Astyanax mexicanus: one gene and its partner. The protein of the gene in region 1 purifies or fractionates together with the protein of each later gene. This does not show direct contact. Links are inferred from orthologs where the notes say so. Each region holds a gene or a part of one and is shown on either strand. Other genes may lie near its edges.

What was found.
Region 2: the proteins of apaf1 (region 1) and cytochrome c purify together in Homo sapiens (affinity purification with western blotting; 3 studies listed by BioGRID and IntAct, with this or other methods). This does not show direct contact. The link is inferred for Astyanax mexicanus from reciprocal best matches to the Homo sapiens genes APAF1 and CYCS.

What each region holds. Positions count from the first base shown.
Region 1 is NC_064409.1:37,144,716-37,154,235, reverse strand, and holds the start of apaf1 (apoptotic protease-activating factor 1), read left to right. Parts: upstream 1-5,680; 5' UTR 5,681-5,842; coding exon 5,843-5,980; intron 5,981-7,088; coding exon 7,089-7,278; intron 7,279-7,666; coding exon 7,667-7,864; intron 7,865-9,069; coding exon 9,070-9,259; intron 9,260-9,520. UniProt on the Homo sapiens protein: Oligomeric Apaf-1 mediates the cytochrome c-dependent autocatalytic activation of pro-caspase-9 (Apaf-3), leading to the activation of caspase-3 and apoptosis. This activation requires ATP. Isoform 6 is less effective in inducing apoptosis.
Region 2 is NC_064412.1:39,206,548-39,215,537, reverse strand, and holds cytochrome c, read left to right. Parts: upstream 1-4,901; 5' UTR 4,902-5,010; intron 5,011-6,251; 5' UTR 6,252-6,256; coding exon 6,257-6,425; intron 6,426-6,606; coding exon 6,607-6,752; 3' UTR 6,753-7,184; downstream 7,185-8,990. UniProt on the Homo sapiens protein: Electron carrier protein. The oxidized form of the cytochrome c heme group can accept an electron from the heme group of the cytochrome c1 subunit of cytochrome reductase.

The DNA of each region.
Region 1 (9,520 bases):
GGTTTGCTAGCGAGGTAAACTAAACACGTTAGTTTATAGGTAGTATAGCTAACGTTACATTGGTATTATATACTGCCATAATATGACATTGTTAAGACACACACACACACACAAAACATTATCAGATTTTGACTAAATATTTAATTTTAGACAGGATACTCAAACGTTGACTTCCATAAACGTGTGGTATTACTGTTCTTAATAGAAAATGATATCATTACTTACTAACTAAACATTGTAAACACTAAAAGTTATATACAGCTCTAAAAAAAATTGAGTTTCTTTAATTTTTGATGGACAATCACAAGCCAAGTTGAACTGCTTAAATTTTAGTGTTTTTTGTGTGTAAGACTGGTGAAGGAGAACATGCCAAGATGCTAGGGGTGTCACGATCTCGATATTTTATCGAAATCGAATCGAAATGAGGTCACGATCTCGAGTATCGAAGTCAAAAAGAGGATCGACGATCCCTCCCGCGCGCGCTACGCAAATAGCGCGGCACCAACACAGCGCATCCTATTCATTTAAATAGAGATAGCCACTGCATGAGCGCAGTCGGCGGGAGTGTGATCACTGTTTTTATCTGTCCAACGGGGGAGGGGGGGCGGGGGTTGGGCGCGCAGGTTTTGTATCTGTATCTAACGGAGGGGTGGGTGCGCGCAGGTGAGAGCGTGTGAACTCGCTGAAATGCGTGTGTCAGTGTGACTTGAGAACACTGACTATAGATCACAGTGAGGTGGATTAAAAATCTTAAACTTATAATTGACTACACCTGTTGCTTTCCATTGAATTAAAAAAACATCTTTCTCTCAGATAAAGTAAACACAAGCGTGTTTCTGACTAAAATAAAAGCTTTTCAGGAGAGATATAAGTTATGTGTAAATATTTATAAGACAATACCCACATCACTTATCTAACCAGCCTGTACTGATTTCTGCCCCCCAATAATGCTTTCAATAACCTCTTGTAACCCCTGGGAGCCAGGGGTTACACTCTAATAGCCTTTAATAGTCTTCAGTAGCCTTTAAAAGACTTACCTGGCGGCCGTGGTGTGTCCACTAAACTCCGTAGTTATAAACATCCTGAGGTTAGCAGCGCGCTAACTGACCTGTTTATGATGTAATCCGAGCAGTGACTCCGTGTCGGCTGTTCTAACCTGCTGCTGTTAGCTGCTTGGGCTGAAAGATGAACTGTAGTGAGCTGTATTATCCGGTTAGTGGGGTTAAAACCTTTATTTGTTTACAGAAACAGTAAAAACGGACTGGCTGAGCTCTGTAGCCCGTGGCTGGGCTGTACTGAAGTAGTGACTGAGTGAAGAGAGCGGGGCTTGTGCTGCTGCTGCTAGTGGTTGGATGAAGAACTGCAGCTTCATGTAATGAGCAGTTTCACCAGCCATCCACACACAGCTCTGATAAACTGCTTGTTTTAATAGTGCACACTGTTGCTACCAAAAAAAGTCACTAGATGGCATTACCATATATATCTTAATAAATAATAATAATAATATTTATAATAATAATAATAATAATAATAATAATAATAATAAATATATTATTTAAATTTTATGAGGCATAAAATAATAACAAGAAAATAAAACAAGAAAATCGAGAATCGAATCGAATCGTGACCCTCAAATCGAAAATGAAATCGAATCGAGGATTTAGAGAATCGTGACACCCCTACAAGATGCGTAGAAACTGTGGATTAAAACCAGGGTTATTTAACCAAATATTGGTTTTTGAACTCTATGAACTTTATGAATATGAGCTTGATTTCTTTGCATCATTTGAGGTCTGAAAGCTCTGCATCTTTTTTGTTATTTTAGCCATTTCTCATCTTATGCAAATAAATGCTCTAAATAACAATATTTTTATTTGGAATTTGGGAGAAATGTTGTCTGTAGTTTATAGAATAAAAAAACAATGTTCATTTTACTCAAACATATACCTATAAATAGCTAAATGAGAGAAACATGTTTCAGAAACTGAAGTGGACTCTCTTTCAGAGCTGTAGATCTAGTGGAATTTCTGTATTTCTTCATAAATGTGACTTAAAACATCATAACATTTCCTAAAAGTAAATGAAGATAAAAAATATATTTAAAATATTATACTTGATTTAGTGCTGGACGATATGGCCAAAATTTATATCACGATATATTCCTTAAATTTCGGTCGATACGATATAATTTCGATATCGATAAATACTTTGAAGGCCTCAGAAAAAGAATCCCTGCAATCTCTGCAGCTTGCACTGCAAATTTAAATTATTATTTAACTGTGTATTTGCACTTTTTGTATCAATCTATCCAATGGAAATCTGTACCTACTACTGTATGAAAATGTTTTAAGTCTTTGAAACCTCGTTTCACAAAAACTTTAATACTTTAGAAATAAAAGTAGTCAAAATAAATCAATGCTCAATTTTATTTGCATATAGCAAAATAATAACATGACATCCCTGCCAAACATAAGCCTATATAACTATTACAAATAAAAATAACTTTAAATGACAACAGAGGCAGAGCTTCTTATTCATTGTAAACAAATTTAACAGATTAAAACAAAAGTGTTTTAACTAGGATATATAATACAAGAAGCCTTTATATACATAAAAGCAACAAAATTTTCCCGTCAAATAAACAAACCTATAGGATTTTTCAACTATAAATAACTTAGTGACAACATAATCTATTAAAGTGCTTCAGCCAGAATACAAGAGGTATTCAACATGATATCAACGGCAAATAAACAAACCTAAAGGATTCATAAACTTTAAATAACTTAGTTTCAACATAATCTATTAAAGTGCTTCAGTCAGAATACAAGAGGTATTCAACATGATATCCACGTCAAATAAACAAACCTAAAGGATTCATAAACTTTAAATAACTTAGTTTCAACATAATCTATTAAAGTGCTTCAGTCAGTATAAGGAAAATATTGTATGTAGTGAAGATGCTTGAGGTGGTAGAACAGATTAGATGTATTAACGTTACGCTGCTTGTCGGCTCCACTCACCGGCACAATTTGCAGCAAAGCGGCAAGCGAGCGGAGCCGCGGATGAGCGAGCGGAGGCGCGGATGAGCGAGCGGACCCGCGGCTGGGCGAGCGGAGCCGCGGCTGGGCGAGCGGAGCCGCGGATGAGCGAGCGGAGGCGCGGATGAGCGAGCGGAGGCGCGGATGAGCGAGCGGACCCGCGGCTGGGCGAGCGGAGCCGCGGATGAGCGAGCGGAGGCGCGGATGAGCGAGCGGACCCGCGGCTGGGCCAGCGGAGCCGCGGATGAGCGAGCGGACGCGCGAGCGGAGCCGCGGATGAGCGAGCGGACGCGCGAATGGGCGAGCGAAACAGCGGCTGACCGAACCGAGTCTACCCTAGCCTTGGATCCGCTCGTCCCGGCTCCGTTTCGAGACATTTTAGATGCGTAGCGGAGCGGACCTGAACCTAACCTAGCCTAGCCTAGCCATTTTAACCTAGCCTAGCCTAGCCTATCTGGCTACGTGCCTGTGTGATTGCGTCATCACGCACTGAGGTAGCACAGCTATGGGGGCTGAATGTGTTTGGCTCTGCGGCGAGCTGACGCCAGTAAAAAACGCCTGTCCGTGACAGATTCTGTACATAATACATATCGATATACCACAAAAGTGATATCACCGTTATTGAAACATTTCTTATCGCGATAAATACCGATATCGAATTATTGTCCAGGCCTAACTTGATTATTTATTCATTGAGGAAAATGATTCAATATTATGTATTTATAAGTGGCAAAAATATGTAAACCTCTAGGATTAGCAGTTGGTTTGAAGGTGAAATTTAGAATCAGCTGTTTTCAATCAATGGGATGACAATCAGGTGTGAGTGGGCAGAACCTGTTTTATTTAATGAACAGGGATCCATCAAAGTATGCTTAAACCATGAATGAAATAAGTAAATTCGAAAGAAAAATGGAAGGATATCTATCCATGAACTGACTCTCAAGAGAAGGTGCGTGGGTCATGCAGCAAGTAAATAACCCTAAGCACACAAATCGTTCCACCAAAGAATGGGTAAAGAAGAAAAAAATAATTAAAATGACAAACTTTTAAGCACCACTGTATATGAAGGTAAAAGAGTGATAACAATATTATCGATTTTACAGCATAACACAATCAATGCACTAGTGGCATATATAAAGAGCCTACATCCTATTTCTTTTGGTTTGATGTTTTCTTTGATGTTTTGAATCAGAAATATTTTTACACTGTCATTTTCCAACCTCATACTTTGATATAGCAATAGCATGTAGGCTAATTTTGTTACTTTGTCGTTAAGACTGGTATATGTAAATTAACTCTGACTGGATTTGCAACCCTGTGTTGTGCCCCATAAAAAAGTAGTCCTGGCTGAAAATGTATTTTAATGTCTTAAGTGAAGTTTAATGAACTGTTGACTTTATACTAAACATTGCAATATATGTATTTCCTGTAATATATTGCAATATTAAAGTATTATTAAAGTATTTATAATGATTAAAATTATGGTCGAAAGTGTTGGCAGCCTCAAAGTTTTTCTCCCAGAAAATCATTGCAATTACACGTAATGTTATATACATGTTTATTTCTATTGTGTGCATTGGAAAAACACAAAAACACACAGAAAAGGCAAAATTTGAGAAAATTTCACGCAAAACACCCAAAATTGGATGGACAGAATTATTGCACACTTTTTGGAGAGAAATATCTGTCCCTGTAACAATGGATAAGATGCACCTGAGCCTACAGGTCAGCTTGAAGTTCTTTAGAACTTCATGGGGCTCCTTATCCAACATTTGAACTATCTGGAGTTGCAACCTTTTATCAGTTTTTCTCATCCGTTTATGTCCAAGGAGATTAGCTACAGTGCCATAGATTGTAAAGTGTTGTGCACCATGGACAAAGAAACATCAAGATATCTGGAAATGGACTTGTAACCTTGAGATACATTGAGATGCATGATATTTGTCCACAATTTTGGTTCTCAGTCGTCAGACAGTTCTCTTATCCTCTTTCTGTTCTGCAAAGATTAAATTAATTTCTCTCCTTTTTCTGTGGTTTCAGGTGTTATTTTTGTATTGCCCACACCTGTTCCTTGCTACTGGTGATTTTAAACCAGTTAAAACCTGTTAAAAATGTGCTTACATACTACCCATCAAACTCTTATATTTAAAAAATATATATATATTATTTACAATATGGCCTTCACAAAATAATAATTTACTATTTTCTTTAATAATTTGATTTTGTTTTTATGTGCTTTACCATGTTTAGAATAATGTTACACATACCATATGTTGTTGAGTAAGATTGGTATGCATATGTTGAATACTGCATCAATAGTGGACAGTTCGTATGTTGCTGATTGCTCAGATTGAAATAATTAAGAAAACTTTTATTTAAGGTCTGGGTTGTTTTTTAGGTTTACGTTCTTTCAAAGTAAACAATCAATTGTCAAACTTCCCTGGTCCTCTTTTTTTATTCTTAAATGCAATTTTTCTTAATTTTAAATAAATCAGAAATACAATTACAGACCCTATATTTTGGCTTTAAATAAACGTTCTTACCTCTATCTGAAATAATCCTAGGATCAACAGAACAAGAACAAGAACAAGCTACCTTGAGATGATTATACTTGTCCATCTTTATTGTGTCTGCAGGAAACATTGTGTGTGTGTGTGTGTGTGTGTGTGTGTGTGTGTGTGTGTGTGTGTGTGTGTGTGTGTGTGTGTGTGTGTGTGTGGGTGTGGGTGTGTGTGTGTGTGTGTGTGTGGGTGGGTGTGTGTGTGTGTGTGTGGGTGGGTGTGCGTGGGTGGGTGTGTGTGGAGATGGAGGAGAGGGCTCGCAGCTGTTTGCTGCGCTCCAAAGACACTCTGGAGCAAGATATAAAGGCCTCCTACCTCATGGACCACATGATCAGTGACGGGGTCTTGACAACAGATGAAGAGGACAGGGTACTCAGCAAGGTATAGCAAATAGACCCAGATACAGGTTAACAACCAGCCACTGGTCAAAAGTTATATGGCACATACTTAAACTTGTTTTTTATTACATTTAAACTGTGCTTTATAATATCAATATTTGTACAGTGTGCAGTTGGTAACACCATTTCTCCCATATCCCAGACTTAGGTTAAATTCCCTGTCTGAGGAAGAGCACCACAGTATAACAATACATTTTCCTAATGTCTGTAATGTGATTAAACTTTTTGCCACTGGGTAAGTTTCAAAATAATACCCCAAATTAAGCATGAATAAAAAAAATAATAGTATTAGATTTAGTATTAATAAGGTCATATATATATATATATATATATATATATATATATATATATATATATATATATATATATATATATATATATATATATATAAAATATGTATGTATGTATGTATATATATATATATATATATATATATATATATATATATATATATATATATATATATATATATATATATATATATATATATATATATACATATACACTGATTCTCTTAAGTAATCATGCATCAAACCAATTAGTGTGTCACTTCCCAATCACTTTAACAGCCAGGTGCACTCTTGTGTTCTCATTTATGAGAACAGCAATGTTATTTTATTTTGTTTTCTATTTTAATGTAAAGTTGGGTTTGTGCACTGCCTCTGGTCCATGTGTGTGTAACAAGTGGGCGTGTATGTACATTGAGCACATGAGGCATGCCTGCATTGCCAAGAGACCAGTAAACTGACTGATGACTGTTGTCAGGGTTTTAATCAGCCACTGGCGCACCTTTTTTCCATTGCCAAGATCGCAATACACCTCACTTCCAGACCACCATACCCCTTGGCTTAGATACTGTATGTCTGTGAACATCTTTGCTATTTAAACGATGCAGACTCAAAGTGTGAAAATAGACTATAGATGGGATGTAAGATAACAGTGAATATTGCGATGAGCCTTGTGAAGGGTGTAAGATATGGTTAATATGAAGTAAAAAAAGAAGGTTTAAAAGCTGTTACAGAGATGATGTAGCATGTGAGGTTCCTCTTTATGACATTGTTGCTTCACTTTTGCTCTCTTTTATTTTATAGCCCACCAGAAGAGAGCAGGCAGCAGCATTGCTGGAGGTCCTCCTGCGGAAAGACAACAGAGCCTACATCTCCTTCTACAATGCCCTGGTTAGAGAGAGCTATGGAGACCTGGCCAACCTGCTGCATAATGACCTGCCACAACTCAGCCCTGAGGGTGAAAAGAGCTTTTCCAATGGGGTCTCTTCCTTAGGTAAACATTAAACTGCCTCCTTCTTACTAAAATGATTTCACTAATGATTTTACTAATAGTCTGTAGTACGTTGTGGTGAAATTGTCGAAGGGAGAGGAAAAAGTTCTAAATTCAGTGTGCCTCGTCCACATTGACCATGAACCAACTGGGACAGCCACCAACCCATAGGACACAGAATTACATGTCATTAAGTAACCCCAGAAACTCACAGTTAACTCTTTTACACAAGGAACATGCTCTTCCACAAGCCTCAGTGGCTAAATAAGACTAATCTAACTCTAGTTAATGAGAGTAACACACCAACCGTTCTGTAAAAAAAGTATTTTTTTGTTTTTGCCTTTTTTAGGATTAGGTTATATCTGATCTCTCTCTGCTCTAATTATTTCAGTTCAGCTTATTCTGAGTGAAGGCGGAGTTCCCCAAAGGCCTATGGTTTTTGTGAACCGGCCTGCTCTGCTTAACCAGGTCCGGGAGAAGCTGTACCAACTGCAGAAAGTGGTGGGCTGGGTCACAGTGTTTGGAATGGCTGGCTCAGGGAAGTCTGTGCTGGCTGCAGAGGCAGTGAGAGACCATTCATTAATCAAAGGTACTGTTTTTTTTTCTACATAAATATTTTAGTTTTTCAATGGTTAGTTTTTGACTAATGTAGAGTAACTTGCAAATGGCATATTTCTTAAAAAGAATTTTAGCAAGGTTATTATTATTTTTTCCCATTTCAGTTCATTACAGTATGCTAAATACCCTTACATGCCAGTAGTCATAGTTCAGCAGTATGTAATTTGATCATGAAATGTTCTCTTGGTTATATTGTGAGTGAGGTTCTGAATTTCTGCCAGAATTCAGTGAGAAAATGGACTGGTAGTGGATTTGGGTTGTAGTGAAACATGGTAACGTGTACAGACTTTTGTGGAATTCTCTAATCCCCCCAAAGGTACTCTGTGTATAAGCAGTCACAAGGTACTGTGTGTATAAACAGTGTTTTTTATTAAACTGGAGTTTTCAGTGTCTCATTTTAAATGTCAGGGCCCTTGCCGTTTCGAATCCTGTTTATATAGCTTGCCATTGGCTACCAGAGCCCCAAGAGCACATAATTGGCCTTGTTCTCTCTGGGTGGGTAGATGGCGCTCTCTCCAAAGGCTGATGTCTGCAGCACAAGGCATCTGTGAGCTGATGTATCGGAACGAGTCGCTGCGCTTTTCTCCGTGCGAGCTGTGATGCTACTCAGCAATTCTGCATCATCAGCAGTTCAAAAAGAGACGGTGGATGACTTCACATGTATCGGAGGAGGCATGTGCTAGTCTTCACCCCCCTGATGTTGGGGCATTGCTAGTGATGGGGAGTCCTGATGAGTGGGTTGGGTAATTGACCGTGTAAATTGGTCATTAGGCATAACAAAATTTAGCTTCTATGAAGATCATATTTGTGCTTTATACATATTATATTTATGTGTGATCATAAGTTTTGCTGCACAGTAGATTAGTACACCATCATGGTCTTTGTTGGTCAAACAAGGGTTTGCTTTGCTCTTTTTAGCACTTGTGAAAGCACTTCTCTATGAAACTTGGTCTTGCAGACCTCAGCTTGACCTACGCTTTTTACTTTCATTTCAGAATTTGAGTTTGACTTAAGTAACAGTCACAGTTTCAGAAAATTTACCCATGGTGTCCAAACCTTTTCATGTTCCATAGATTCATAGATTATTTATATGCTTGGCAGTAACTTATTAATCACAAGCTCTCTCTCTCTCTCTCTCTCTCTCTCTCTCTCTTTCTCTCGTCTTCATATCTAAAGAGTGTTTTCCTGACGGTGTTCACTGGCTGTCTGTTGGACAGTGTGAGAGAGCAGAGCTGCTGGTGAGGATGCAGTCTCTGTGTTTTAGGTTGGAACAGAATCAAACTGTGGATTCACCTCCAAGACCCCCTAATTCTATTGAGGAAGCCAAAGAGCGACTGCGCTTCCTTATGCTCCGCAAGTTTCCCAGGTAACCTGACTCAGGTCTTTGCAAGAGCCAAAACATTAAGACCTACAAGTAATCTGACTAAATAAATTAGCCATCGTCAGTTTTGCTATGGTATTAAACAACTGACAATGAAAATGGTGATGGGTTAGCTATTAATTAACATTATTTTCTTCATAAATTGTTAAATAGGATGATGGAACACTTGAAAAGTATATATTTATAAAATAATATCTATTTAGTAATTTAGTAATTAGTTCTCAAATCCTATAAATACACCATATA
Region 2 (8,990 bases), on another chromosome or scaffold:
TCATGTTCTTTAGGGATCAGGGTTCATACACAATTTAACCAATACATTTTCATGACTTTTCTATGCCTTCAAGACAAATTATCATGACCATATGAATTTTAAAACATCTGTGCAAACATGGAAAATAAAACCAAAAATCTATTTTAATAATAAAATGTGGGTCAGATCCTGAGAGCTCCAAAACGTCCTGGGTGTTTTTATTTTTCCAAAACCCTATCCAGTCCTGGTAATTGCTATTTTTAAATTCCATGACTTTTCCAGGTTTTTCATGACCGTACAAACCCTGAGGATTACTTTTAAGCTGAATTTAAATTAGTTTCACTTTTCTGCATAAAACATAATGCTAGACCAACAGTAGAATAAGTCTAAAAAGCTTGTAAATTGCACTGTGCTTGGCAAATTATTTCAAATGTTGTACTTTTAAGCGCAATATAACTTAAACAGGACAATCAGCATAAAAACTAACAAGAAGAAACAAAAAAACGGTTCAAAGAGTAAGGTGTCATTCACATGCTTATTAAACTTATGGTAAGTTTAACCTGGATAATGAATTTAACTTGTGTGCATAAGATTTTGCTCTCTGATTTAGACCCAATAAAATACAATTGTTAAAAACATATAGCACACAGATGAGGGACCAGAAGAAATTAGTTTAATATGGAGAAACTGTTGACTCCCTGTGAAGCATCCAGTATCAAAGACAACTGCTCTGTGACTTCCTGCAAGGTCTTGATTATCAAAGGAAATATTTCCTGAGAAATCTCTGGTGGGTGTCCCTGTAAGAACCCGCCAAAAGTATTTCCTATTGTATTGTCATGGAGCACGGTTTGGTTCTAGATCAAATACAACCAGTCAAGTTAATAAGATCACCCCACCCCAGTTGTCCTCCAGTTTGGAACAGCAGTCACCAGAGCTTGTCTAAGAGTTGATTGTAGAGTCTCAACCAGCTGTCCAAAATTGGGGCCAGTGGTTGTATTATCAGCATTGTATTGGCTGATACCAGAGTAATGCAGAAAAACCCTTTCAAACGTCTTACAGAAGTCTGCAGACTCTCCATTTCTTTGTCTGTATTTTGTGATTTGCTTCCAGTCATTTGAATAACAGCATTTACAGCTAATCCAGGAACTGGAAGCTTCCCATGCTCTTTCAAGGTTTTGGTTGTTGTCACCCAAAGCATTCAACACCTTTTTAGAAAGCTCTTTACCTTGTGAATAATTACTGACTTGGCTTGCTATGGCAAATGTATCATTTGGATGTAGTGGGTACAGATTCTTTTTCTTATGCATGAGATCAGTGAAGTCCAGCTTCATGTCTCTTGGAGGTTTAATCTCCTTGGATAACTTATCCAGAGTAGATGTATGAAAAGGATGAAACCAATTTCTATTCTGGTTTCACTACCTGCATTTCTCCTATTAAGTACCTCAGATGGTACAATGTTACAGGTCTCATTTGAACCTGACTTTAAAATTGTGTCAAAAGACAAAGATTCTGATCCATCAGAGAAGTCAACTCTGATTACTCATGCAGATTGCATCTTGATTGAGGATTCTCACTCTCTGTGTGGCATGGCTGGCCTGGTAGAGGGCCAAAAGGTAGAGAACATTGAAGCATAGACTTAGTTTTAGACATATGTTGCTGTTCAACTTCTGTCAGTGCTTATTGCAGTTTTTATATGTAATTTCGATATTTCTGGTAGCTCTTTTATGTCTTTTGTACTCACTCGTTAGTTCTAATCTGATCAGCTTTCTAAATTACTCTTCAGCTTCTTTTAACTTATCATCCATAGATTTCAACTTTCCTTCCCAGTACTGCTAAATAATAAAAATACATGCTTGATGCCATGACTTAAAGCTGTTTTACACTCAACAAGTATCTATCTCTATCAGCAGAGAAATCTGTGGATGACAAATACTGAGTTATCTTTTGCTGACTAATATGTTTCTTCACTATGTCACTGATTACCAATCCGTTCAAAGTCAGAATTAAACAACTGAGGCATTTCAGTCCCTCCCTTAACTAAGGTGCTGCTTTTATAGTTAAGAGGTTTCCGTCTTTAGCAAGACCAAGAAACGTCTCTTCAGAGAAGACATTAACTTTAATGTCTTCTCTGAACAGACATTAACATTAACTTATCAGTACCTTTCAGTATCTTTTAGTTGTAACAAAAACAAACCATCTGTCTTTCTCTTAAGGAGAATCTCTACAACTTCTATGCTTGGCCAAGATTTCCTATACTGATTTCCCATTATGTGGTTTGTGATAGGGCTACATTTTTAAGGCTGTTTTGTATTTTACATAAAGCTATTGTATGATGATCACAATATGGCAGAGTAAAAAATCACACTATGATCATAAAAAAGTTGCACAATTTAAAATGTCATAATCAGGCAGTAGTGGCCTGAGCAGGGTGCACACCCAAGCTCCTCCACTTGTATGTTACCCTTTTTTAATAAACAGTTTTCTTAAATAATAGGCCTACATTCTTGCATGCTGCACTGTTCATTATCATCATTCGAAACAGATTTTACTAATTTAAAGGATAACTCCAGTGTAAAATGGTGACTTTTGGTGTAGTAAAACATGATAAAAAGTACTTACCTTTAATGAATAGCACACCTCCGTTCTCCCACAGAGGCAAATTATGCCCCGTGTCACCCAGTCTGAAGGGTGTTTGGACAAACTGTTAAAATTTCTAGATCTTGGAACCCTGTCGGAAAACGGAGGTGTGCTATTCATCATAGTTAACAGTTTAAATATATAAAATAATGACAAATAAAATAGAATTACTTGGCTTGGGTAGGGTCAGTCTGTTTTTTTTTTTTTTTTTTGACCCGATGTAAGCTCTATTAGGCAGTGACTGAATTAACAGAGGTCATTCTAGATTGATGATTTAGCATGTTTTGGGTAATAAACTGAAAATTCCAGCAACCTGTAAAGCTGTTTTAACTAGCACTGCTTAACATAATGCTAAAACAAGGTCATTGCACTCCAGGTGTAATCATGAAAGATTACAAAACGAATCTATGTTCATACCAGGTGGAGAGATGACTTACTTCACTTTACTAGACCTGTTAACACACTGTGATCTGGATAAAAAAGAGTCTTGAGGTTGGATCTGCTATGAATGCGGTATTCTCTTAATCTCTTTCTCTGTTCTCCATTCTCTTCTTTTCACACTCTGAACACCATGTGACTTCGAGTCTGAACTGGTTGTGCCCCCTCGTCCTTTCCATAGAAGGATCTGGTGTACGTGAGCTGAATCTACAACGCGATTACATTCGCGGAATGACGATACCAGCCTCGCGGGTGAATCGGTTCTTTTCAAGGACTCTGTTGAACCGATTCACAAAGATGCTTATTAAGTATTCAGTATTTCTCAGTACTGTATAAATGCAATATGCAACATCAAAATATAACATTTTTAAATGTATTATTATTCATCTTTGTTAATAATTGCGGTAAACTATATAATTGCCATTTCAAGACCATTTCATGACACTACTAAAATTATTTTAAAAAAGACATAATAATACATTAACACATTAGTGTTAAAGAAGACAGACATTTTAACTGCTAGGAATATTTACACACTAGATTTAGAATACAACATTGTTTAAATAGATAGCAAAATAAATGACAAATAAAATAAATAATAATAAATAAAATAATAAAAGTTTGACATATCAGCTGATTCTCATATTGAGCTTTTCTTATTAAGTAAACATAATGAACAATATTAAGATTAGCATAATTTATTGAAGTTATGTTATTGTATGATAAATCAATAACAGAATTATTGTAACAGGCCTATAATTTACATTAGATATTGGAACCAGGATTCCTTTCTCTTGGCAGTGTTTTGACATTTAGGATGTGTCTAAAACTAGGTATTTCCATACTTTATAGTATTTTAAATAAGTCAATCAATGGAAGCAAATTTATTAGTAGGCCCGTAAGTAGTGTACGATAATATAGTGCAGTATTGTAAAGTAAAGTACAGTATATTGTAGCATATTGTAGAGTTTAATAAAAGTTTGCATAGTACAATAAAAAATGGTATATTACAGTACAGTATAGTATAAAATGGTATAGTATAATATAATATTGTATGGTATAGTGTGATAACATATAGTTCAGAATGATACTGTAAATTAAAGTTTGAGCTGGTATATTATAAAATAATGTATAGTATAGTATGGTATAATATTGTACACTTTGTACACTAGAGTAGTATAAGAAAAGAATATTGTAGAGTTTAATAAAAGTTTGTTTAGTACTATTTAAAATGGTACAATACAGTGGAGTATGATAACATAGTACAGTATGGTGCAGTAAAGTACCTGATAAAATTGTATAGTATAAAATAATGTATAGTATAGTATGGAAATGTGTACTATAGTATAGTATAGAAAGTATTTAAACAGTTTAATAAAAGTTTTATAGTACAGTTAAAAAAAGTATAGTATAATATGGTATGATATGATATAGTATGTAGTACAGTGTGGTACAATAAAATACCTCATAAAATAGTATAGTATGGAAATGTTTAGCATAGCATAGAAATGTATATTGTACAGTTTAATACATTTTGTATAGTACAGTATGAAATTCTATAGTACAGTATAGTATTATATAGTATAGTATAATATAAAAGTGTGTGATATCGTATGATAACATATAGAACAGTGTTGTACAGTGAAGTACATTATAATATAGTATAGTATAAAATAAAGTATAGTATAGTATAGTATCGTATAGTATAGTATAGTTGCAGCATGTGACTGAATCAATGCGTCGCTGAATTGAACACTTTGTGAAGGACAGTTAGAAAGAATCGGTTCGTGAAACTGATTCGAACTGGGCTTCACTAGAGAGGTACGTGACGAGGCGGCGCCGCCGCGGTGCTACGTCATCTGAGCGAGCCTCTAAAATGTAGTGACCTTCTTTCGGTCGAGCGGCAGAATCCGACTCTTCGGGTCCAGAGAGGGAGAGAGAAACACCATCCGCAGGGTGAGTGGCTTTCCTTCCTTCCTTACAGAGAGAGATTATAGCGGGTATTTCATAAAGAGAGTTTACTCATAAATCTGTTCTTTATATTAAAGCTGTAGATTTAGCGGAGTTTTTCAGGACAGAGAGAGAAATTAGTGAATTAGCGGAGGAGCTGTTAGATAAGGGCCTTTGAAGACTTAAGTAACCGGCACCCGGTTTTTTCCTGAGCCGAGTAAACTATTTAATCTAGTAGTTCGTAGGGCGAAATGTATCAGTGTATATGTGTGTTCTTAATCATAAATTTTATCTGTTGTTCTGCTATGAGCTTATATATGGTTGTGAGATTTTCGCAGTGTCGAGAGATTTTCCCAGCCGAATGAGAGCTGTAGCACATCTGCTCTTAATGCTAGGTTAGCTTAGCCGCCCGGCTAACGCGCTAACCGTGATGGATGATTCACACTCGTCAGGTTTAACGTTAGTCTTTCATCCGGCTTAAAAAATGTGTAGATCTCTTGGCTTAAAAACACTAATTTTGTAGCAAAGTAATATCGCTAGCTAGTTAACTAACTAACTGTAACCTACAAACTACAGCGTTTTCATGATATTATGTGGACTGATATCAAGTAACTTACCCCGGTTTTCTGATTCATTATTAATGTCTCGGATGGAGATGCTCACTCCGACCTTGCTACAGCTAACTTAGCTTAGCTAGCAGGCTAGCTAGGTCACTAGCCTTTTTATATGGTCATGTTAGCCGCGCTAGTTAGCTTAGCTTATCTTGGTTAATGTTAACTTTGGACGCAGACAGTTTATATTTAATTAAAACTGTTTTTCTTTTCTGGCCTGTTTGCTGTTGTAGTTACCATAACTATGTTTCTAGCAGAAGCTCGTGTCCTCAGGTTTAACAGAGCGGGGACATTTCTGTTGTAATCTAATGTTAGCTACGTTAGCTCCTGTTCTCTGCCAGCATGCCGGTTCTCACGCGCTGCCGGCTCTTAAAGCTCTCTGATTGATTAGATTTTGGTTTCACTTTCTAAGAGATTAGCGAGCAGCCAGTTAGCAGCAGCTGTGTTTAAGCAAAAGAGACTCGGGTTTGCTTGCATTCTCCTTGAGTGACCTTAGTGTGTCCTGATCCTATAGCATCACTTTCTGTGCGCTGCGGCTATGACTCAGAACCTTTTTTATACCAGCTGTAAAGTGTATAGAGTTTTATGATGGTGTTTTTATATATTTGTGTTTTTTTTTTTTTTTCTTTTTTTTAGAAAACATGGGTGACGTCGAAAAGGGAAAGAAGGTCTTCGTCCAGAAGTGCGCACAGTGCCATACAGTCGAGAACGGTGGCAAGCACAAGGTTGGCCCCAACCTTTGGGGTCTTTTCGGACGCAAGACTGGACAGGCAGAGGGCTTCTCCTACACAGATGCCAACAAGAGCAAAGGTGAGTTCACCAGGAGGGTATTTAACCAAGGACAATGTCTCCTTGGTGGGCTTAATGGTTTTGAAGCTAGTTTGCTGTGTTTTTCCTTTACAGGACTGGCCTTTAATGTGTCTCAGACCATTTTGTACACTATTCATTGGTTTTGCTACTTTTCTTAATCTTTCAAATGGTTTTGTTTTAGGGATCACTTGGAATGAGGATACCTTAATGGAGTACCTAGAGAACCCCAAGAAATACATTCCTGGCACGAAAATGATCTTCGCCGGCATCAAGAAGAAGGGCGAGCGTGCAGACCTCATTGCATACCTGAAGGCATCCACATCGTAATGGTTGAGGATGAGGATGGAGATATTTAAATTAAATGTCTGTAGTTTTGCATTTTCTGTCTTTTAAACAGCATCTACTCAAACAGTTACACGCCACTGAACGACCAGGACTATTCATTGTGGTTTTAAGTCACGGCATGCTACTGATGCCCGTCCATGAGGATTCTAATCTTTTTTTTTGACTACCGCTGAGCTGTCGGCACTGTTTGACTGAGTGTTATTCCTGTGACTTTCAGGTCATTTTACCTGGGGGGGGTAAAATTGTATCCCCCTGATTTCACAGGAGTGGGTGCATGTTAAATTATTTTGCTGTACTCTTGGGTCGAAGTGTTGTGGGTTACATTGCAAGCTAAGGGTGTCTGTCTGCTTATTGGTAGCCATGTTAAGTTATGTACCAGATGAAACTACTGTCAATAAAAGTGGAAAAGATAAATTGTCTCTTGCCACTGTCTATGAAAGGCTTCCAAAAGGCCTAGTATATTGGTCTCCTATTGCAGGTCATGTGTAATGAGAGTTTAAACACTTATTTAAACTGGTTAAAAGGATATCTTTGAAAGAATGTGGAGAATCTGGCTTTAACTTTTGTTTGCATTTTAAAATCTGTTCTTGGTTGTGTAATTCTTTTTTTTTTTTATTGTTTAATTCAATGGGTGTGAGGAAGTGTACTGTGCTGATTTACTGGTCTTAGTCATCAAGTTAGTAAGCTTTCATTTTAAAAAGCTATTATGAAATATGGTCATGTTACATCAGATGGAACATGTATTTAAGAGGTGAAATACAATTTTTCAGCAATCAGAAGTGAAACGTAACTATCCAATATTTTATTATTTGTTATGATTCTGTGTATTAGTAGCTCTATCTAAATTCTGTTTCATGCTGCCTAATTTATTGTGTTAAATTGAAGCAGCTTGAGAATTAACTAAAGTCTCCTCACGTGGGCGCAGTCAACTGAGGCTAGAAGCACTTCCAGAGGTCAGCAACCTCACTGTCCTCGTGGAGTTAAAAAGATAATCTTTGTTAATCTACAGAATTTAAATTGCCCACTGCTGTCTTAATGGTAGGCCTGAGAGTTCTACAGTATCTGGAAGGTCAGGTTAAGTTGGCTACCTGGAGTCTGAACAGGTAGTAAGAGTTAAAACTAGCTTTCTAAATTAAACGTTGAATACATTTAAATGAAGCTTTTATCAGCAGGACTGATTAAGTGGCGACACCGAAAGACATTGAAGACTGTAAATTACATCACAGTAACAGTACAAAGTCCTCTCTGCTGGTCAGAAGGAGTGCCTTCCCAGCGAAGCAGCTGTAGGGTAATACCGCCACCCAGCGGAGAACAGGGCGTTACGCAACTCTGTTCCATAACAAATTTTTATTACCGGGGAAAGTCTTACACAATGTGTAGGTCATCAGCTACGTAATGTTCACTTTCAATAGAACATACTACTCAGATGGTAAAGAACATTGAATCAATGTTTGTGGTGTAAAAACAGTATATGTTTAACACTGCCTAAAAGTGTTGAAATTGAGAGAAAGTTTTTGAAGGTTTAAGGCTCTTCTACATTTACAATGTTTAGGTCAAAGTGCCCCCCAAATATAGTGTTTATTATTATTATATAATGTTTATTTTTGGGAAGCCCCTTTTACCTAAAAGCATTGTTTTTCTCATTAATAATGAGAATTATTGTTATGATTACTATTATTGTTTTTTATTATGCATACCATAATTAACATAAAATATATTTAAAGAGTTTTTACAAGGTTGCCCTGATAGCAAAGAATGTTGAATACATGTTATGTTTTGGTTGAATTACATCTTTTAATGTTTTTTTATGTAAAAGGAACCTTTAAACAGCCTTTATTTAACATTGACTCGTAAGCATTTTGACAGCAGTGCTAAAACACAGTTTCTTCAACAGTTCTGTGTTGAAGAAATGAGACAATTTTTCATGTGTGAAAATTATCAAAGGTTTATAAACTCTCATCTTATATACAGCTCTGGAAAAAAATAAGAGACTACTTAAAAATGATCAGTTTCTCTGATTTTACTATTAATAGGTATACATTTGAGTGACAACATTTCTCCCAAGTTACAAATACAAATATTGTCATTTAGAGCATTTATTTGCAGAAAATGAGAAATGGTCAAAATAATTAAAAGCTACAAAGCTTTCAAACCTCAAATAATGCAAATAAAACAAGTTCATATTCATTTAGAAACAACAATGCTAATGTTTGAAGATTT